Oryzias latipes: one gene and its partners. The main gene of each other region encodes a partner of the protein of the gene in region 5 in a complex. Links are inferred from orthologs where the notes say so. Each region holds a gene or a part of one and is shown on either strand. Other genes may lie near its edges.

Region 1 (3,966 bases), on a different chromosome or scaffold from region 5:
AACAGCATCAACGGTCGCCTGAGGGTATTGATGAGGAGGGAGCAAGTTCTGAAGGTGTGTGCCAACCACTGGATCACGACCACAATGAACCTGAAGCCCCTGGCAGGTTCGGACAAAGCCTGGATTTGGTTGGCCAATGACTTCTCTGACGGAGACGCCAAGTTGGAGCAGTTGGCTGTCAAATTTAAAACTCCAGAGCTCGCAGAGGAGTTCAAGGCAAAGTTTGAGGAATGTCAAAGACTCCTCCTGGACATCCCCCTGCAAACTCCACACAAGCTGGTCGACACAGGCAGAACGGCTCACCTCATTCAGAAGGCAGAGGAAATGAAATCTGGTTTAAAAGACCTGAAATCATTTCTGACGGATGAAAAAACCAAGATCAAAGATGAAGACACGCAAGGAGACACGACGGCTTCCGGCGAGATTTCCAGCATGGTCATCAGGCCTCATGGGGAAACCACCGGGCCGACCTTGGAGTGGGATAACTATGACCTGAGAGGAGACGCTCTGGATGACACAGCTGACTCCTCTGTTTATGCCTCGCCCATTGCCAGCAGCCCCCTGAGAAAAAACCTTTTCCGCTTCGGAGAATCCACCGGTGGGTTCAGCTTCAGCTTCCAGCCTGGCATCAGCCCCTCCAAATCTCCCGCTAAGCTCAACCAGAGCCAAGCCTCAGTAGGCACTGATGACGAGCAGGACGTCACTCAGGATGAAGAGCGGGACGGGCAGTACTTTGAACCCGTGGTGCCTTTACCGGACTTGGTGGAGGTTTCTACCGGAGAGGAAAACGAGCAGTCGATCTTCAGCCACAGAGCAAAGCTGTATCGCTTCGACAAAGATGTGGGTCAGTGGAAGGAGAGGGGGATCGGAGACCTGAAGATCTTGCAGAATTATGACAGCAAACGGGTGAGGCTGATCATGAGGAGAGACCAGGTGCTGAAGCTCTGTGCCAACCACTGGATCTCAGAAACCATGAAGCTGGAGCCCATGAAGGGAGCAGAGAAGGCCTGGGTCTGGAGTGCCATGGACTTTTCTGAGGATGGGGAGGGCAAAATCGAACAGCTGGCTGTGAGGTTCAAGCTCCAAGAAACAGCAAATACCTTCAAACAGGTCTTCGAAGAGTCCAAAGTCGCTCAAGCAAAAGCAGAACTGATGACTCCAATGGCGTCTCGGCTCGCAGCGCCTAAAGACGACACAGCAGCAGAATTGGCAAGCACTCCGGTGTGTGGCAGTGCGGCTATTGCTGTTCTGGAGGAGATCACAAAGGAGCGCACAGAACCTCCTCCTGACAGCAAACCGTTACCTGCTGCCTCTCCGAGTCCAATCAACCCCTCAAAGACTGTGGTGTCTCCCCCAAAGTTTGTCTTTGGGACCGATTCCCTCCAGAAGATATTCGGCTCACCAAAATCCCAGCCGGAAGCTCCAGCTCCTGCAGGGAAAGCGAAAGATTCTGGAAGCTCTGTGAAGAGTCCTCTTCCTGCTCCTGCATTCCCGATGCACACAGGTAACTTGCTTGTTTGTTTTCCTCCGGTATAAAAAAACTGCTTTTTGCCGACAGAATTCCTGTCTCCTTCCATCTGCATCTCTGATTTCATCCTCTTTTTGCAAACTACCATTAAAATAAGTTCTTATTACCATTACATATGCATCTATAGGTCATACTATCTAGAACACTCTACTGTACATTCAAAAATATAGCTGTACTATGTAAACGTGAATAACCTGCACTAATCCAACACTCTGATGAATAATTCCAAAGCTATAGCATCTGCTTAAAGCCAAATCACATTTGGAGTTTTCTGATGTCACAAACGGTTTCTCTTTGCTGAACAACCATCATCCTTCAGGTCTGGATTTTAGGCTTTTCAAAGATAACCCAATGGCTTTTTGGACCAGCACGTCCACCAGCGACAGTTTTGAACCCGCAGGTACTCTGGTTACTGCAGTGTGTGTTAACACCTGTCAGCTGTCACCCGACTGGCTGCCTCCTACTGTGACTACTGTAAAGAAAATAACACCTGAAATGCACGAAGTGGCCGAAACGCTACAAGCTAATCCTGCATGTTCAGTGTGTTTATTTCCAGTTTTTGCTGTTGGGAGACCTTAATTTAATGAGATGTTTGTCTCGTTAAAAAAATGTATATTTTATAGGCCGTTTTGTTTTGTTTGGCCTTGTCACTATTGTTTTTTTTTTCCCCTTCTGTGACAAAGTTTAGGAAAACTAATCCTGACATTTGGGTATTATTATTACAGTGATGAAAGTCTTCCGGGAATTCCCGGAAATCCGGGTTTTTGAGCAAACCGAACGTACTTTCCGGGAAATAAAGACCTGATCTCTACGGACAAATCGCTTTCCGGATTAAAAAATGGTCTGAAATCAGCTAATTTTAGCTTTATTTTCTATATTTCTCCGCAGATCGCTTCCTCTATGGTCGTGGCCATCTCTCGTCTTCCCGGCCTAATTGACCAATGACGGGACGTTTTAGTTGCTTTCGGATGCGTCGACGGGTCTGATTGGCTCTGTCTGCACCACGTGGTCAGCGTGACTCGCTTCCTTAGAGACCAAAACTGGCGGACCCACGCTAAACTTTCACAAACACATCTGAAGAGTTTTCGATCAAATTTGTGTTAAAAAAAATGGCAGGCATCGTCATTATTGAGCGTGGTCACGACCTCAGTTGTGAGAAGACGATAAAAAACAAATTGAAGTGGTCTTGGCTGGAAAAAAAAGATTTTTAAGGTAGTGTAGGTCAAAACCTTTATTGTAAAATAATCTCAAAACCACATTTTGAAATAATTTCAATTTTAGTTTTGAGTTTCAGTTTTTATTTTGAATACATTTCTCTATCTAATTTATTTGTATTTCCTAATTACCATGATTTAGTTCAGTATAGTTGACATTAATTATAAGTATTTGATGGTTTGGACCCGCACTCCCTTAAAAAATAATGTTTACAATGTTTAGTTTAGTTTGTATGTTTGTTTTGATATTTCCCAGATTACTTAGTATTGGTGTTAAAGAATTGATTTATTATGTTATAGAATTATAGTTTAAAGCAGATCCCATATTTTGATGTAATTATAGTTTGAGAAAACGGTGCAAGTGGATGTTGTACATCAGTCATTTCTAAAGCAGAAATAATGTATAAATAACTGAGGTATTTTCATAGAATATCATAGTTACTGGTGTTCTTTTTGCCATTTGGGGCTTTGATGTTACTATATTTTAGCAATTGTATGTTTTGCAGCTTTAAGGAAAAGCGTAGATTGTAGGATTGTGTTACTTTGAGCAATTTTCCAAATTCTTTTTTAGGACCAGCAAGTCCTTAATGGAGAGTCAAACTAGGGGATTGAATGACAAATCATGATGCTCCAATTAGTCTTAGTTTCTTGATAAAGAAGTGAATAACTAGTTGCCAGAATGCACCAGAATGCATCTAAGACCACGTATTTTTCCAAAATTTCGCTCTGTGCCCGCCATATCGCTCAAAGAAAAGTTCAGGGATTTTTTCCTTGCCTGACTTTCATCACTGTTATTAAAACTCTAGGCTTGTGTAAAGCTCAGTGGTTTGGAGGTTTTGATGACCAAACGTGGAGCAGAAGTTGCGAAAGCCAAGCATCTGAAATATGAGGAGAGCAGAATCAGTTCCTTTATAGCGGCACGTCCCCAACAAACGTCACAGGGCTATTTATGGAGCAGGAAGTGTAGCAACAGCACGGACTGTAATTTCCTACCTGGCCTGATGTCTGTTAGCGATGTGCACATCAGCAAAGACTAATTAGGGATTTATGTTTTTGTTTGTTACTCTATTATATGTTCAGAAATGAATAGCACAGTTCTTTAAAAACAAAGGTAGATATTGTCTGACTGGAGCAATCTGCATGCAGTATATGCTTAAAATGTGTGTGTGTGTCTAACATTTGTGTATACTAAGACAAATGCACAGAAAGGGGGTTTCTTTTGTC
Region 2 (4,587 bases), about 6.2 Mb from region 5:
TTCTTATCTTGTCCTACATGAGTGAACTTCTGTCATTAATCATTTCTTCAGGTTTTTTAAAAAGTGAAAACGTTCTCTGACTCTTTCAGTTTGATTTGGTTCTAGAAAGTGGGTTTGAGCAAATAAAGATGCTGCTTTCTGAGCCTGAACCTTACCCCCCCCCCCCCCCACTGCTAAATGTGCACACCTGTATACGTGCACGCCTGCACACGTGCACACATCCCTTTGGGTTCTTTAGAAAGCCTCCTCTATGACGCTGGCTAAATACCTGTGCCCCCCCCCCCCCATGAATTCTCAGACTGAGTTGGGGGTGGGGTGGGGGGTAAAAACAGGAGGGCTGGCTGGAAATCAAACACAGATCCTCCTTCAGCTGAACAGAAAGGAGAATGTTCTGCCTCCAGAATCCTCCTCCAGTCAATCATCGCAGTGAAACTTCAGAGGCTCCAGTAGGAAATTCATCAGGAGGAGTTTTTTTTATGCTGTTATTTTCATTCCGTCACAAACTACTGCCTGTTGTTGTTGTTACCACCTGTTTTTTTGTATTTTTTTCTGACTTAGACTCTGCTGAGCTTGAATCTCTCCTGAGGCGACATGGTTTTTCACTCAGGCGTTATCTAGGATGACACATGTGACACAGGAAACGCCCCGACGTGAGCCGAGACCGGGCGGCACCTTCATCCCGGAGCACCATGGGAAATCCCTGATAAAACTGAGACAAAGCCCAAATCAGGGGTGGGGGCACAAAGACCCTCGGGAAATGCTCCAAGCATTTCCAGAGGGTAGAAACCTCCGGCAGGATTCCAGAGAGAAGGACGACTGTTCAACAAGCCAGGACCATTATGGGTTACATGCCTTTAATGTTGACAGACAGACATCAGACATAACAGGACCGTTGACCAATGTTTATGAGGAAAACTTGTCATCAGTTCAGAGTAACAAGTTACAACAAATAAAGGGTGTGCTGAACTGTTGGAGGACAAAGTCTAATATTTAGGTGTTTTTAACATGTTCTTGATGATGGAGGACCATGTATGAAGAAAATTAAGCGCAAATTTTCATTTGTTGTGAATCAGGAGCAGACTAAAAAAATGCAGTTTAAAAAAGAAAAAAATGTGCTGGGCGGTGCCACAAGCTCCGTGCTGCGCTCCATTCCGATGCATTCACTGTCAGACAAATAGATCCATAAACATCTCTGTTTTCCTGGTCTGAGCTGGAGTCTGAACTGGACGAATGGACGGATCTGATGAGGCTGCCATTTTTGTTGCACCAGTAATGTTGGGGGGGTTGGGGGGGGGGCTGTTAGATAGCAGGAAAGAGTGTAAACAAAGGAATCATGGGAAATTAGACAGGCTTACTGTGTGCCAATGGCCACAACTCAGAGGAGAACCTCTGATGAACTCCTGTGGATCTGCAGAAACTGTCCTGTAAAACTGTCCACAGGAAGGGAAATAGATCAAAAGATGGCCGGAATGTGTCTTAAAGTTATCTGGATTATTCTTTTGTGAATCACAAACTGATTTTCTATTTAAAGTTTTTCTACATTTTATTTGACTTTGAAAAGGATTCCAGCGTCAGTATTAGCAGATGTAGCAATGACAGACGACAGCAGGGGGCGCTGGTGTCCCGCTTGGGTTCAGTTTGCTCCCGAAGAAAAAAAAACAGAGCGCCACTAAGCGAGCGCCTTGCTGTTGCCTAGAGACCACCGACCAATGAGGACCTCGGATCTGAGCGCGGACACGCGGGGTTTGTTTTTGCTCGTTGAGCGACAGTAGCCGTTCCTTGGAAGTGAAATCTTCGCGTTTGGATCTGCAATTCGATCGCAATGAGTCTGTCTCTGAGGTGAGGATCGCAGCTTTTACGGTGACGTCATTTCCGGTTCTCTCGCCTTGTTAGCCGACGTTAGCATGTCGCCCGTTTGCCTCAAACATTCAGAGCTTGTTGACCGGAGACTCGGTCAAAGGGCTGCGTCGGTCCAAACGGTCCAAATGTGTGTCTGTCAAAGGGTTCGGTTCGGTGGAGCTGTCTCTGAATCAATCTGAGCTTGGCTGAAGACGTTGCACCGAAATTCTGTGACCTCTCAGGTTCTGTCCTCGGTAGATAATATTTCACCTGATTTGGACTTTCCGGGACCAAAAGCTCGTTTCGGGGAATGAGTTCTTTTATTTTGAAATAACGTTTGTTTTTCCACCATATTTGGTCAAAGGTTCTCCAAATAAACCTGTTGTGACGTCAATGTGACAGAAAAATATCAGAAATAGGATTCTGTGGTTTGTGGTCAAATACTACGATAAGACTAAATGGGTCTGGGTTCTTATTGGCTCAAATCTGATCGGAGATCTCTGAGTTGGTTGAAGCAGGTTTCTCTCTCGGCTCAGAGTTTGCCGTCAGTCTTCTCCTGCCTTCATGTCTGTTCCTGACTGATGAAGATGTTCAAACTCTTGTTTTTTTGTCTTCGTCCATCCTTCACGGTTGAACGGCGAGGTTCAAGCTCTGGTTTGTGGTCACAGGGAGAATCTGTGACTCTGGTTTTGCTCCGCAGAACCGACCAGGCCGACAAAAACAAGCCTAATAAGAGGAGGGAGCTCACCGAGGAGCAGAAGCACGAGGTCAAGGAGGCCTTCGACCTGTTTGACACGGACAAGGACCGACAGATCGATTATCACGAGCTGAAGGTGAGCGGCGGCGGATCGGATGGAAACCGTGGAAACGAGACCAAAGGTGTCATCTGTCACGGTCCCACCAGGTGGCGATGCGCGCCCTGGGCTTTGAAGTGAAGAAGATGGACGTCCTGAAGATCCTGAAGGACTACGACAGAGACGGGAACAGGAAGATCACCTTTGAGGACTTCAGTGAAGTAGGTGAGTCACTGGCCTCCTCTTCCTCAGAGCCAGGCGACGAGGAGCCGCCCTGAAACGCGTCTGCCCGCAGTGACGGACCGCATCCTGGAGCGGGACCCGAAGGAGGAGGTCCTGAAGGCCTTCAAGCTGTTCGACGACGACGAGTCCGGGAGGATCAGCCTGAGGAACCTGAGGAGGGTCGCCCGAGAGCTCGGCGAGGACATCAACGACGAAGAGCTGCGCAGCATGATCGACGAGTTCGACACCGACAGAGACGGAGAGAGTAAGTCTGCATTCGCTCAGGTTAAAGCCACGCCCCCTTCACCGGATGACACGTGTTCTGTCGTTGCCGCGGAGATGAGGGTCAACAGCCTGTACTTATGTAGCTCTTATGCAGGTCTAACGCGTTTTAAGGTCACTCTGAAGGCGGCAGAGCTGCCATGACAACAGAGGGGCAAGGTGGGGGTTCAGTCTCTCGCTCAAGGTCACTTCAACGCATAAACCTGCGACCTCCTGATCGTAGGTGGACCGCTCTTCTCCCGGTGCGGCTCCTGCTTTAGAAATCCCATCGCTCTCTGACCTCCATGGCAGGAAGGTTCTGGCGTTCCCGCTCCGAGGTCGCCGGTGATTGGGCGGAGAGCGCGGCTCCTCCCCTCACGGTTTCCTCAGCTGACCTGTTCCAGAGTTTTAGCGACCCGAAGGCCCGTACACACCGGGACGAATATTCGCCAGGCGTTATTCGCCAGCGTTTTTCTCCACGTTTTTTGTGTTCACACCCAGGCGATTTTCGCTGACGATGAGCCGAGCGAACATGCAATTTCATTCCCTGACATTAGATGGCGCTTAATGTAAACAGAAATACTCCTGTACACAAGGTGGCGCTGCGCAACTTTACGCTTCTTAAAGTCGCTTTTCACTCAGAAGAAGAGAGCAAGTATTTACACGCTTGTCAGAATCAAACAAAGAAAACATTAATATTTCAAGCATCAGTAGCTCCAACTGGTGCTTGGTTCGGGGATATTTTAGAATGTCCGTCATTATTGCTTCGCGGCTGTGTAGACGCTACTTGGCGTCTATCTTCTTCGCTGGTATGTGTGCTCAGCAAGGCAGTTTTGTGTTTGAGCGCCCCCAAGTTGTGTTTTACTGTAACTTCAGAAGCTCCAGACACGTGAGCAAAAGCGCCATTCTCATTGGTCGAATAGATTTCGATGCGACGCGTCGAAAAAAAAAAAACGAACCCGAGGCGTTTTTTTTTTTTGACGCTTTAACGCATGGCGTTTTTTCGCGTCGGTGTGCACACTCTCGTTGGTGCCCTTTGTTTAGTCACGAGGCGTTTCGCCGACGAAATTCGTCCCGGTGTGAACAGGCCTTGAGAGTCTGAGCAGACCGGTGTTTCCTCAGTAAACCAGGAGGAGTTCCTCGCCATCATGACCGCAGACTCCTGAGGAGGAGCCCGGAACGCCTTCTGAGCTGGACCCAGACGTTTCTCCACAGAGCCAGTGGACGCCCCCTCAGAGCCCGTGAGTCTGAATCCCGCTGGACATGAGAAGACTTTCCAACAGTAAAAACTGGACTGACTTTCTGTAAAGATCAAGATTTAAGTCGATCTTGACTTTTGAACTGTTTGTGTGAGTGTTTTATTTATTTTTCATAAAATAAAGAGTGTTTTCCCCAACAAAGTTCTTCCTAATAGTTCAGAATTTCCGCCGCGGGTTCAGAACCCGACAAACCCTCAGTGTGGCTCCTCTGG
Region 3 (3,966 bases), about 2.5 Mb from region 5:
TGTGTTTGGCCAACAATCCACCACTGGGAGCATATTTGGACAGGTATGGTCCTCGAATTCACAATGATTCAATGCCTTTTGAACCAATTTTCATGAATACACGTCTTTGCTGGTTAATTGCCACCAGCAACAGCAACCTTCAACTGGTGGAGGTTTGTTCGGTCAAAGTTCGACCGGCGCTGCAACCTCGTCCTCTGGCGGATTCTTCAGCGGGTTGGGAGGCAAACCCAGTGAAGACGCTGCCAACAAGAACCCATTTGGTACCACCGCCTCCACTGGCGTGTTTGGCCAGAGCACGCAGTCTGGTACGTTTACAGTAGGGATGCCCACATTTTTTGCCGGGATGCGAGCTACTTTTGAAACAACCAGCTCCAAATTTAATTTTTTTATATTTATTTACTAAAATACAGACTTGTTTTGAGAAGCAGATTTTTAAATGAATCAGACAATTATTCAGAATCAAATTGCTAAACTTAGATGTGAGATTTTTACGTGATAATCATTCTTCCATCAAACTGACAGCTCTTTGAATTGTGTGTTGTCATGTCAGTGGCGCCACAGCGCACAGTGTGCCGACGACAGAAATGATCCGTGTACGTTTTGTTTAAGGTTCTGCTTTCTTGACCGGCCTCAGGCCAGTCAGGAAAAAATATGGCACATCGACTGTTACAATGCTCCTGACGCTAAACGCTCACAACTTTCTGAAGTCAAAGAGGAAGAAAAACTCCATATGAGCGAGCAGAGAGCTCGGTGTAGTTGAACTCGCATGTCCATTGACGTATGTTGATTTGTCATTCTTTCTACCTGTCAATCAAGTGACGTACCACACTCTGCAAGAATGATGATTGTCTGACAGCAACATTTTTTGTGTATTTTTGGTTGTCTGCAATCTACACAAACTTCCTTTTGACACATTGGACTCTCCTTTCTTAAATAAACATGTAAAAGGAAATGTCTGAACTTCAGGCATTATTTGTGTATTGCACCGAAAAGTCTGATGGACTGTAAATAAATCTGCTGTCAAAGCTTACATGTTATTGTTTCTTTCTCTTCTAGGGCCCAACAGCCTCTTTGGGAGCAGTAGCGCCAAGACCTTTGGATTTGGTCAGCCCTCCTTCGGGGAGCAGAAGCCCAGTGGGACCTTCAGTACTGGTGGAGGCAGTGTTGCATGTCAGGGCTTTGGTTCCTTCTCCACACCATCTAAATCAAGTAGGTCCTGCTTTATTATCCTTTTTTTTGAGCTGTGAATCCTTCATTACGTGGCGATCCAATTTGACTCACAAATCAAGATTGTGAAACACGATTCTTCAGTCAAAATATGTCTGAATTGGTGCTGTATGTATGTGAAAATTGAAATATATATATATATATAATCATCATTTATACAGAACAGATAAAAACACAAGGTTTTTATTAGAAAAAATAATATTTATCACTTTAAACAATGTCAAACTTTAAAAAAACTTCCTGGTTAACTTCAGCAGTGAACAAAACATAAGTGTCCCTGTAGTTGTGGATCCGTTTAAGCAAAAGCTGAAAATGTTCACAGTTTTTCCATCCTCAAAGCAATGCTGACTGCAGTCATAGTAGATAGATGGCAAGAAGACAGTAAATGAAGACACAGAAACACCTCAGTAAAAAATCTCTGTAATGAGTAGAAAACACTCAAAGTCCTTTCATCTAAACTGACAACAGACAGGTTTTACAGACTCACTCTTTTCATCTTTAGAGGAAATTGATCACACGATTTATTTTAGATGATCTTAAATTCATATTCGGTATTTTTTTTAGTCTAATCTATTTTTTAAATACCGGTATATCGAACAAATTATTTTTTCCCTCCAGAATTTCTATCTGTAAACTAAATTTCAGTCTCTTGTTTTTGATCTAAGTCAGTGCAAAAAACACTCAAAAGCTTTACTTTCAAAATGAGAAGTGTCACCAACACTTTACTTTGAAGAATGATTTACTTCCTCTGACCGTAGCACACACTGCACATTTACTGCAGTTTAGAGCAATAGTTACATTTTTTGAAGTGTATTTTTACCACACTGTACTTGATTCATAAGTGTCGCAAATAAGAGATTTTTGGGAACGGATAACAAGTATCCGAGGATTCGGATACTTGTTACAGCCCACTCTTTATCTCATAAAAAAATTTTCAGCAGTGTAAAGATAATGTCTAAATAACCTGATTTAGTTACAATTTCGATTTTGCATTCATGTTGAAAATGTGAAATTCAAGAAATACATCAAATCTATGAATTATTTGGTGTCATAATGATGAAATGTTTGACTTTTTTTTTTTCCTCAACTTGACCATCACTCATATCCACTGAGACATTTTCTTTTACTGAAGTCCCTATTAAAGGCCTTTCAATGGTTTGTGCTGTTGGAATCTAAGCTTGTGACATTAAGTCAATCAATGATTTACTGGGGCATGCTGGCTGTAATTTCAGCTCGCCTTGCTCTGAGGCTTTAAATTACTGTGATGTTTTCGTGTCCTAGTGTGCTGCAACACCATAGAACTCAACCTACTCAACTCAGAAGGACTTTGTGCTACAAAAACAGGAAAATCATGGGTGTAAAATCCCCAAGAAGTGGGGAAAAAACCCAGACAAAAAGAGTTGAAAGCCTCTTGACGCTTTTCTTACCTACTAGAATAGTTTTAGTTATTGTATGTACAGCTATGAAAGATAGTTAATCAACCTAATCTCTGTTTTTGTGTCCTTATTCCAAACATGACAAACATTTGGTTTCTTCAAGAAAATTAAGCGAACACACTGAGAAATGCTCTGAAAATTGCTTCAAAACCCTCCGAGCTTCTCACTAAGCAGTTTTCGACCAAGCCGGCACCCGTCCACTGCCCTCCTTTTCAAGCCTTCACCTTGTTTCTCTCTCTCTCTACAGCGAGCGGCTTTGGCAGCGCCCCCGTGTTCGGAAGCCCCCCTTCTTTTGGCGGTTCTCCTGCATTCGGTGGCGGCGCTTCATTCAGTTCAAGTCCGTCTTTCAGCAACCCTTTAGCTTCCCAGTCCAGTAAAGTGTTTGGCGAGGGAACAGCAGCCGCCAGCATGGGAGGATTTGGGTAATTATTAAAAAAAAAAGTATTTCAAGCAGTTATTGATTTCAATATGTGGCCCATTTTATTTGTTAAGTTTGCTGCTTTTGTAACAACATGAATACATTTGGTGTTGTGTGGCTTAGTGTAGTAGTATTTATGTTCTGCACCTACAGTCAATGTTTTGGTTTGGAACTATGTGTCATTCGGTTGTTTATGCAGCAGAGTGAGGAACAGCAGGTTTTGACTCACAGTGTGAAGCAACATGGAAATCCAAACATGTTTGTTTTCGCAAATAGAGCAAAGATGTCTACTTTATAAACTGGATTTCTTGTAAAAGCGTTCCCAGTGGTCCTTTTAATTGTAGCTATGCTATTTTAGGCAACATCCGAAAGCTGTGTTGTTTTCTAAGACATAGTTTCTGCAGAGTGACAGGAGTTTGTGAAAGTTCGCCTCTGAGTTGTAGGCGGGACTGTTCGTTGACTGTTAGACCATCATATTTTCTACGTCACCAATAAGTTCTTTTTCAGACTGCATTTTTATGTCTGCTCCTGATTCGCAACGATTTGAAAAAAGAAATACTCAGAAATGCAATGTTAGGCCTAATTTTCTTCATACATGTCCTCCATCATCAGAAGAAAACACCATTTCATCAAAGTGGTCCTTTAAGATGTCGCTTTTTTTTTATCTTACACCTTGAGTGTTTTTTCTCTTACTTAAACACCCTTTTATAGACCTAAGCCCTTTAAAACCAAAAAATATTTTACATTTTTTTATCATGTATTTCTTTTATATTTAAATCACAAAATGAGGAGATTATGATTCATTTGGTGCTTTTTTCTGACCTCACACAGTTTTAGTTTTTCTCCCTGAATTTTGCATTGAGTAGTATACTTGTTTACATGTTC
Region 4 (3,966 bases), on a different chromosome or scaffold from region 5:
TTGGAAGAAGGAGATGATGCACAAATGCATGTATGAGTACATGCATGCACTGCAAAAGGAGGGAACCTAAAAAGAGGAAAAAAACACTCGAAAGAAATCACCAGAAAGTTGTAAAATGATCTAGAAACACAGGAGTTTCACACAATCATTGAAAAAGGGAAAATTAAGCGAAGAATGCTAACTGTTAGAATGACTAAAATTAAATATTATACATCCCAATAACTATTTTTGCTAGTTTACAAGCAAATGGTTTGTATTTTTTGAGTTTTATGAACCTAATTGTTGTTCGTTTTGATTAAAGTGACAATAAATTCTAGTGTAAATAGTGAAAAATGACTCATTAAATCCTCATAGAATCTAAAACTTATTCTTAGAACATACATCTACATTTTTGTTTCCATTATAATCACAATAAATGCCAGTTCTACTTTTTAACTTTCAAATAACACTTTTTAAAACGGAGCCTAAAACGATGGTACAATTTGACTTTTTTAATCGTTAAATCCGATTTTTCGATGGAGGGTTTTGACTCATTTTAAGAATTCTAGATCCTAGCTCTTAATGAGATTTTGAAAAAAATCCACAACTGTGCTGATTTTGAGCAAAGTCTGAAAAGGTGTAGAGCAAAGACGTGTAAAAACAACTTAAAACCTGGTAAAATGTTTTAAATTTCTAATAACACGGTTTTAATTCTGTGCAAGGATCAAATCGTTTGCAGTGTTTGTTATTACAGGGCAGTTAAATATATAAAGCAATTTATTGTTGTGAAGATAAGGAACATGCAGGTGCGATCAGACAACATATTTTTTGAATAATTCATTCATTGTGGGAGCATTTAGCCTTTTTTTTCCTCTTTTTTTTGTTCTAAACTCACCAACATTGTCCCTCAAGACATATTTATCGTATTATGTGAATTTGTTCAGAAAACTTAGAAAATTTCCTCTCAGCAGAAACCAAAAGACGACAAACTATTGAAGAAATCGAGTCTTTTCATCGCATTGAAAGTTAAATTCAGATGTGGAGAGATGCGCTTTTACCCTGCAGAAAATCAAATCAGCCGTTGCTTCTCCTTCCTGTTAACTCCTGCAGCTTACAGGAGGGATAACTAAGTGATTAAATGTTGCGGCGCTGTGACTTCAGGAGACAAAGTAGGTCATGTAATCCTACCACGCCTCCTCCTGGCCGCCTCCTGCTGCGTCTCTGTCCTGTCCAAGAATTGCAGTGTCCCTGATTTGAAAGCAATGAATATTACAAGAAAGGACTGAGGGCATTTCAATTTCCGATGGAGCTCAAAGCCACGCAGGAGGTTGGAAATGGAGTTGGACCACAACACTTAAAAAGAAAAAAGGACTTAGCTCTCAGAGATCTAAAAACAGACTAATGTTTTTATCATTGAGATCTGGATTGCTCCTCTTCTTAAATTTACCCATTTAAATTGCCTCTCTTATCTGTCTGTCCTCTAACTTTTAGTCAACATTCGTTGATTATTTTATGAATACTAATCCAGCATCATTTCAAAAACGTAATTGGCTAAATTGAAAGGATGAACTTTGCCTCCTGCAGCCTGACATAAAAAATACAAACGTGCTGTTTTCTCCGGAGAGCTGCCCTCTCTGAGAGCTGATGCTGCCTCGCTCAGATAAGACCGCTAAGTCGCCGCTGCTGCGAAGCTCAGTCTGCTTCCTCTGCAGCTCGCTTCGACCCGCCATCCGCCGCCAACCTTCCTTCCTGTCCTGCATCTCGCTTTATACTGAGACACAAAGTCTAATTTTAATTTCTTTTGCTTAATGGCGTCACTCAGGTTCGTTAAGTGCCTTCATCCCCCACTTTCTTCTGTTCTCTCTGTATCTTTCATCCCTCCGTCTCCTCGCACAGCTGTCGCTCTTTCCTCCCACTGATTTTTGTCCTCTTAACGTTCCCTCCTCGCATGTATATTTGTTCTTTGTCATTTTCTGTTTGCACGCTCGGCTGCGCCCCCCCCCCCCTTTCCCCACGTGCACACTTGTGCGCGCACTCACTCCTATCTCGCCTCCTTCATCCTTTTTTTTTCTTTCTCCCTCCATCACTCCCTCCCACCCTCCCTCTGCTGCTCGCTCGCTCGCTTTTTTGAACTAAAACGCTGTAAGTCTGAGATAAGGCTGTAAAATGGCTGACATGGTCCACCCCGTCCGACTCCTCAAACTTTCAGCTAACAAGAGGATTAAGAATTCTAATTAAAAAGTAAACTTGATGACTAAGTACCTGCGCACACCAAAATGTTTTCCAATTTCTCACCCAAAAGCTGGTAAAAAAAAAAAAAAACCTGCAGACTGCTAAAATAAAACTGTTTAGTCGACACATTTCAGTTGAAACTGACAAACCTTTGTTTTTCTTTTGCTCAATTTCTGACAGCCAATCACGTATTTTATCATTGGTGCTAAATAAACCGTTTTTTAGAGAGAGATGGATCATTATGAAGAAAAATATCGTCTCATAATTATAAAACTTTTTCTGCTCCAATGTGCTTTTGCTATTTCTGTAAAGAACTAAATCAGGTTATTGCTGTTTAATTTGGGTTTTAGTGACAAACTTGGTTGAATTAAGGCTATTATTGTCCCCGTTAAAATGTTTTCCTTCAATTCTTATTAAGAAAATGTGAAAACAGTTTTGTTAATATGCAGGTTGTGCCGCAACAGGAGAGTCTGAATGCAACAGTAAAGAACGTATGAAAATAAACAAATCCAGTCTAATTATCCGTTTTTGACGGTGGTACACAAAGCTCTTTTTCAAACTGCAATTTTTCTTCTGCTCCTGATTTAGACCAATTTGAGTAAAGAAATACTCAGAAATGCAATTTTAAGCTTCATTTTCTTAAAATACCCCCCCATCATCAAAAAGTGCTACAAGAACGTGTTAAAAACACAATTTTACCTTGGAGAGGATCTTTAAATTCAGTCAGAATCGAATTTTTTCCTAAAAACTGCAACTGATCCTAATTCTTTATTTAGTGACACGTCAGTGCAGTTATTTTTACACAGAGATTTGGAATAAAGTTTAAAAAAGATAGAGATCTGAAGAATAAAACAAAACCGATTATCTGGATTTACCATCACTGGTTAAATAAAAGTTTATGAAAATTTGTCTGACCAAAAATCTTATCTGACGCAACATTTCTAAATAAAAATATTCTTTTCCTGGTCATCGCCCTTTTCTTCTGTAGGCGAGTCCCATTTCTCGGCGAGCCAGCAGCCCTTCCTGTACTTCCAGGTGTTGTTCCTGACCGCTCAGTTTGAGGCTGCCGTGGCGTTCTTGTTCCGTGTGGAGAGACTCCGCTGCCACGCCGTCCACGTCGCCTTGGTTCTCTACGAGCTCCGGCTGCTTCTCAAGTCGTCCGGTCAGAGTGCTCAGCTGCGTAAGTATGACCTCCATCTTTTTTTCTATTTTTTTTAACCATATTTTGAGACATTTTATTGGAGCTATGATCTGTCTGCAGTGAGTCAAGAACCCGGTGACCCGCCGATGATACGTCACCTCAACTTCATCCGTCTGCTCATGCTGTACACTCGCAAGTTTGAATCCACGGATCCACGGGAAGCTCTGCAGTACTTTTACTTCCTACGGTAAGTAATCCATCTCCCTTCCTGACCCTTAGCTGCTTTACTATACATCGACATATCCAATAGATGTCGTTTTTATCGTCCTGCAGTAATGAAAAGGACAGCCAGGGAGAAAACATGTTCATGCGGTGCGTCAGTGAACTTGTTATCGAGAGTCGAGAGGTGAGTGGACCACGGTTTCCTACCAAGGCTTGGAGAAATATGTCTGCGCCAATAAATCAGTGCTGTTTGACCCAGTCAGTAGAGCTGGATTTGATATCAAACTCCCTCCGCTGATGGAAAAAAGAGACGGTTTTAGTGTCGCCCATTGGCTATATATGAGAACTGGACAGAGTGAGTGTGATTTCACATATAGAAAATGGTTTAGGCT
Region 5 (3,966 bases):
CGTTGCCAGCTAAACCAAGTCAACTGATATGATGGTGATCCAATGAACCGAACCGTTTCATGCTCAAATCATGAGATTTGCACCCCTTCAACATTCTGTGTTGGTAAACAGTAGCACATCAAATAAAAGCATTTTGACCAAAGATTTCCTGCTTTTTCTTATGTTTTGCCAGCAAGTCAACATTTGAGTAAAAGATGACATCTGTACCTGCAAAGATCTAATTTTTTGTACTAAACGATGTAGAAAACTAGAATGAAAAATGTTTTTTGTGCTACTAATCCTCCAATTGTTCTATAGTCTGCATATTACTCATTTAAAATCCCATCTTTGAACTTTCAAAGCCCTCACCAGTTCTGAGCTGAGCTCCTGCTTGAGCCTCTGTTTGTCCCGCGGGAGGATGGAGGGGTCTTTGAGACACCGGACAGCCTGAGAGATGAGCACGTAGAAGCAGTTCTCCATGGTGAACATCAGCAGTGACCTTAGGGGGGAAAGAAAGCGTCTTTTGGTGCACTACCGCATGCTGCTTGACTACAGAAAGGAGTTGACTCACTTCAGAGCTTGGAGCTCTTCGGATGAAGCCAGCGATGCTATGCTGACCGAAGCCGTCTCCTTCTTCTTCTCCATCTGTCCAGACAGAACATAAAACGCTCAAGGACTGCCTGCAGCTAAAACCTGCAACAAAAATGTGAAGAGTACCTCGCTCAGCATGCTGAGCGCCACGTTGATCGTAGCCAGCAGGGTCCCAAATGAAGGCGCCACATCGGGGTCAAAGGCCGGAGTCGTGAAGCTGAGCACAAACAGGGTCCGGTACTCGGCCAGGTCCATGCACTGATGCAGAAGTGGCTTAGTAAATAGTCGAGCACATATTCCGCTCATGTAAAGCTACGTTCATTGTACTGTGCCTTCAATGAGAGGTCTGTGTAAATGTGCATATATGCGCAATTTGGGCTTCCACGTAAAACCTGATGAACTTTGACCAATCGGGGACATTTGTGGTCATGACGAATGGATGGCGTCCTTTTTGAGTCACAGAAGTGCCAACCGTTTTTAAATTCATCATGAAGGAGAAATTAATAATAGCAGTTTTTGCCCAGCCAGAATTCTATGACACCAAGTCTTTCCTGTATCTGGATAGAGCTGAGGGAAAAAAAAAGCCTGGAGCTAGACTCACTAGATTTGCACCGCTTCGACGCCAAGCGTCTTCCCACTGTAGGTTTATGCGCTAGTACTAAGTAATGACAGTCCATCGTGAACGTGCATCACATGTGTAGAGAGCCTGAGGGGAAAGCGGAGGATCTGAGCGGTCTCACCTGGTCCAGGAGGATCTGGCAGCAGTCGGGAGTGAAGTGCTGCAGAGCAGCCAGGGTTTTGCTGAGGATCTTCAAAAGGCTGCACTGCACGGTCAGCAGGGCCTTCTGCTCGGCTTCCTCTGCCCCCGCTGCCCCTGCTGTTGCCTGAGTCTGAGGGGGGCGCTGGGTCCTGGAGAGGGGACCAGGAGGCAACGCCTCACCATTCTTGGCCTACAAAACACAAACTCATGACTTTTTTTTGTCTGTCAAGTACACAAAGTTTCTGGTAGGGATATACGACAAATGTGACATTTATTAAGCATCTTTTATGAAATGTTAAGCAATCCTTAGATGTTCAGACCTGCAGGTAGTGATGGAGCATCTTCTTGCTGTGGAGCAGATATGTGCAGGTCTGGCACAGGTAACACAGGTTGATCTGAACACAAACAGAAGGGGAAAAAACGTTTATGAGCTCCGAATGATATCTCCTGCTGAAAGTGTGATGAAATGTGGACTCGCCTGCACGTCCAGGAGCAGCTTGGGGAGGTGAAACTGCCACTCCTTACAGAAACTGGACAGTTGGAGGAGGAAACCAACCGTGTGATCCGCCTCGTCCAAGCAGGCCAGGCTCTGAACGGTGCGCATGGAGTTCAGACACTGAGGGAAGAGAAACCGACATGCCTTTAAACCCAAACCGCCCTGGATCCTACAGGACTTCAGCAAAAAGGATGCATGGATCCAGATTTGCCGGAACAAGTTTGAAACACGAGAACCTGAGAAGTGGTCTCCAACCTTTTTCAGGCCACAGACCGTTTAAATGTCAGACAAAATTTTCACAGCCTCCGGTTTCACTTAACTTTTGAGGTAAAGTTTATCTTCATTCCCTGTAAAATATCAGCAGCTGCTTTAAACTTGAATAGTTCCTACATTAAATCTAGCGTAGAAATAGAAGCTTAAAAAATACATAAAATCAGACGCCAACCTCAGCCTAATCTGACTTTTAAGGTGTAATGGATAAATACAAAACTAAAACTGTTGTTTTCTAAATATAATAATAATTGTCTTACACTGTTTGAGTATCTTTATTAGCAGCATCTTCATAACATTAGACAGCTGGTTGCTGAATATTCAGCATTACTATAGAGTGTTGAAACAACTGTCGCAATAAATCCACATTTCAAGTAAAAACTCCTGGGGTTGTCTGTTTAACGTAGATTTCTTTTATTTTGAAGTCAAAGGCTCTTCGTCTGTTTCCCTTTTGGCTCTTTCCTGCGAAAATAAACTTTCCAAAAACGATTTGTCTCAACTTTGTTAGCTTGGTGGTTTCACTTTAGCGGTCGGCGCAGACGCTTTAGGAAAGAGGGAATTTCGACATGTGACTGAGCGACTTGACATTCGTCAAGAATGAATCGGATATAGTGGAGAGAATCCTGTAGTTTTCCAAAATAAAACTTCCATCAGAGTCAGATTATAAATAAAAACAGGAGGGATTGTAGGTCGCGTTATTTTTCTCTGTGGCACAGTACCAACCGTCCCACAGACCGGTTCCGGTCCACGGACGGGGGTTTGGGACCACTGGTCTGAATCGTCCTGATCGATCGTACCTGTAAGATGCGCTCTTGATGAACTCCAACAAAGTCCAGGGCTTCATTAATGAAGTGGTAGCGCAGCGTCTTGAGAAGACTCTCCATCAAAGACATGCAGAGGCGGTAAACGCCCGGCCAACAGGCCACATCCTGCGACTTCCTGGAGAAGCTCTGCTAACAGAAGCAACACTTTCAGAACGACTGGATTTGGCCCGAAAATCTCTAAGAATGTATAACGGATTCCACCTGAGAGGCTCCATTTGATGGACCTTCATAAACACTGAGAAGAGGAAGACAGATGGTCTCAGTAACTCCGGCTCCTGCTACAGCCGCTGCTCCCTGAAGAAGAGCAAAAAAAAAAGAAGGAGGAGAACTTCAAAAGCTTAAATCTGACATTCCGATTCCAAATGTATTCAAAATCCTCAAAAGCTTTTTATTTTCCTTCTCCTGCAGTCATTTAGATAGAATTAAATAAGCTCTGATCATTTAAGAAGATTTACAGTCTGTTGTGTAACTGCTGTAGTGATGAACTGCGGCTGCTGTTGTTAGTCCTCCGGAGATTCTTTCACATTAAACACAGACTGAAACACAGTTTGGGTTTTTCACGTCTCCATCTCCACCAAAAACATTTTAGACGTAATAGACAAAGGAAATGTCATGAGCAGAATTTAAATTGCAGGTGCAAAACAGGAAGTTTCAACACAGCGGAAGAAAAAAATGCTAACAAATCAGCAAAGAGGACAAAACACAAGAGCAACAGCAAAAAAGAGAAAACTAAAGATGAAGATTGACAGTTTCTCAAAAAAACTGTCAGGATAATAGGGAACAGAGACATCTAGTGGTGACAGATGGTGGATTACAAATAGTGCAGGTTAAAAATGATCACAAAAACAGAAAACAACTCAAAGTCACAGCGACTTGTACTCTGTGTGCGTTTTTTCTTACCTGAGGAGTGCGAGCCAGTGTAAGCAGCAGATGCAGAGCAGCTTCGGTGAAGTACAGGTTGTGTTTGGAGCGCAGGCTGAGCTCCATGGCGCTCATAACTGAGGGCAGGACCGGCACCTTCCTCATTACCGAGACCCAGTGCTCAC

Evidence for each region.
Region 1: nup188 (region 5) and RANBP2-like and GRIP domain-containing protein 8 share a complex: the UniProt entries of both Homo sapiens proteins name them as parts of the nuclear pore complex. The link is inferred for Oryzias latipes from reciprocal best matches to the Homo sapiens genes NUP188 and RANBP2.
Region 2: nup188 (region 5) and cetn3 share a complex: the UniProt entries of both Homo sapiens proteins name them as parts of the nuclear pore complex. The link is inferred for Oryzias latipes from reciprocal best matches to the Homo sapiens genes NUP188 and CETN3.
Region 3: nup188 (region 5) and nup214 share a complex: the UniProt entries of both Homo sapiens proteins name them as parts of the nuclear pore complex. The link is inferred for Oryzias latipes from reciprocal best matches to the Homo sapiens genes NUP188 and NUP214.
Region 4: nup188 (region 5) and nup93 share a complex: the UniProt entries of both Homo sapiens proteins name them as parts of the nuclear pore complex. The link is inferred for Oryzias latipes from reciprocal best matches to the Homo sapiens genes NUP188 and NUP93.

What each region holds. Positions count from the first base shown.
Region 1 is NC_019879.2:17,108,599-17,112,564, reverse strand, and holds part of RANBP2-like and GRIP domain-containing protein 8, read left to right. Parts: coding exon 1-1,504; intron 1,505-1,847; coding exon 1,848-1,928; intron 1,929-3,966. UniProt on the Homo sapiens protein: E3 SUMO-protein ligase which facilitates SUMO1 and SUMO2 conjugation by UBE2I. Involved in transport factor (Ran-GTP, karyopherin)-mediated protein import via the F-G repeat-containing domain which acts as a docking site for substrates.
Region 2 is NC_019870.2:1,965,647-1,970,233, forward strand, and holds cetn3 (centrin-3), read left to right. Parts: upstream 1-1,673; 5' UTR 1,674-1,822; coding exon 1,823-1,839; intron 1,840-2,539; coding exon 2,540-2,672; intron 2,673-2,743; coding exon 2,744-2,858; intron 2,859-2,928; coding exon 2,929-3,120; intron 3,121-4,238; coding exon 4,239-4,282; 3' UTR 4,283-4,516; downstream 4,517-4,587. UniProt on the Homo sapiens protein: Plays a fundamental role in microtubule-organizing center structure and function. As a component of the TREX-2 complex, involved in the export of mRNAs to the cytoplasm through the nuclear pores.
Region 3 is NC_019870.2:10,679,996-10,683,961, reverse strand, and holds part of nup214 (nuclear pore complex protein Nup214), read left to right. Parts: coding exon 1-43; intron 44-127; coding exon 128-305; intron 306-1,056; coding exon 1,057-1,209; intron 1,210-2,910; coding exon 2,911-3,085; intron 3,086-3,966. UniProt on the Homo sapiens protein: Part of the nuclear pore complex. Has a critical role in nucleocytoplasmic transport.
Region 4 is NC_019864.2:28,045,826-28,049,791, forward strand, and holds part of nup93 (nuclear pore complex protein Nup93), read left to right. Parts: intron 1-3,199; coding exon 3,200-3,391; intron 3,392-3,472; coding exon 3,473-3,599; intron 3,600-3,685; coding exon 3,686-3,758; intron 3,759-3,966. UniProt on the Homo sapiens protein: Plays a role in the nuclear pore complex (NPC) assembly and/or maintenance. May anchor nucleoporins, but not NUP153 and TPR, to the NPC. During renal development, regulates podocyte migration and proliferation through SMAD4 signaling.
Region 5 is NC_019870.2:8,149,414-8,153,379, reverse strand, and holds part of nup188 (nucleoporin NUP188 homolog), read right to left. Parts: coding exon 3,821-3,966; intron 3,215-3,820; coding exon 3,122-3,214; intron 3,047-3,121; coding exon 2,894-3,046; intron 1,947-2,893; coding exon 1,809-1,946; intron 1,726-1,808; coding exon 1,651-1,725; intron 1,521-1,650; coding exon 1,311-1,520; intron 829-1,310; coding exon 697-828; intron 625-696; coding exon 551-624; intron 479-550; coding exon 349-478; intron 143-348; exon of another isoform or gene 1-142. UniProt on the Homo sapiens protein: Component of the nuclear pore complex (NPC), a complex required for the trafficking across the nuclear envelope. Required for proper protein transport into the nucleus.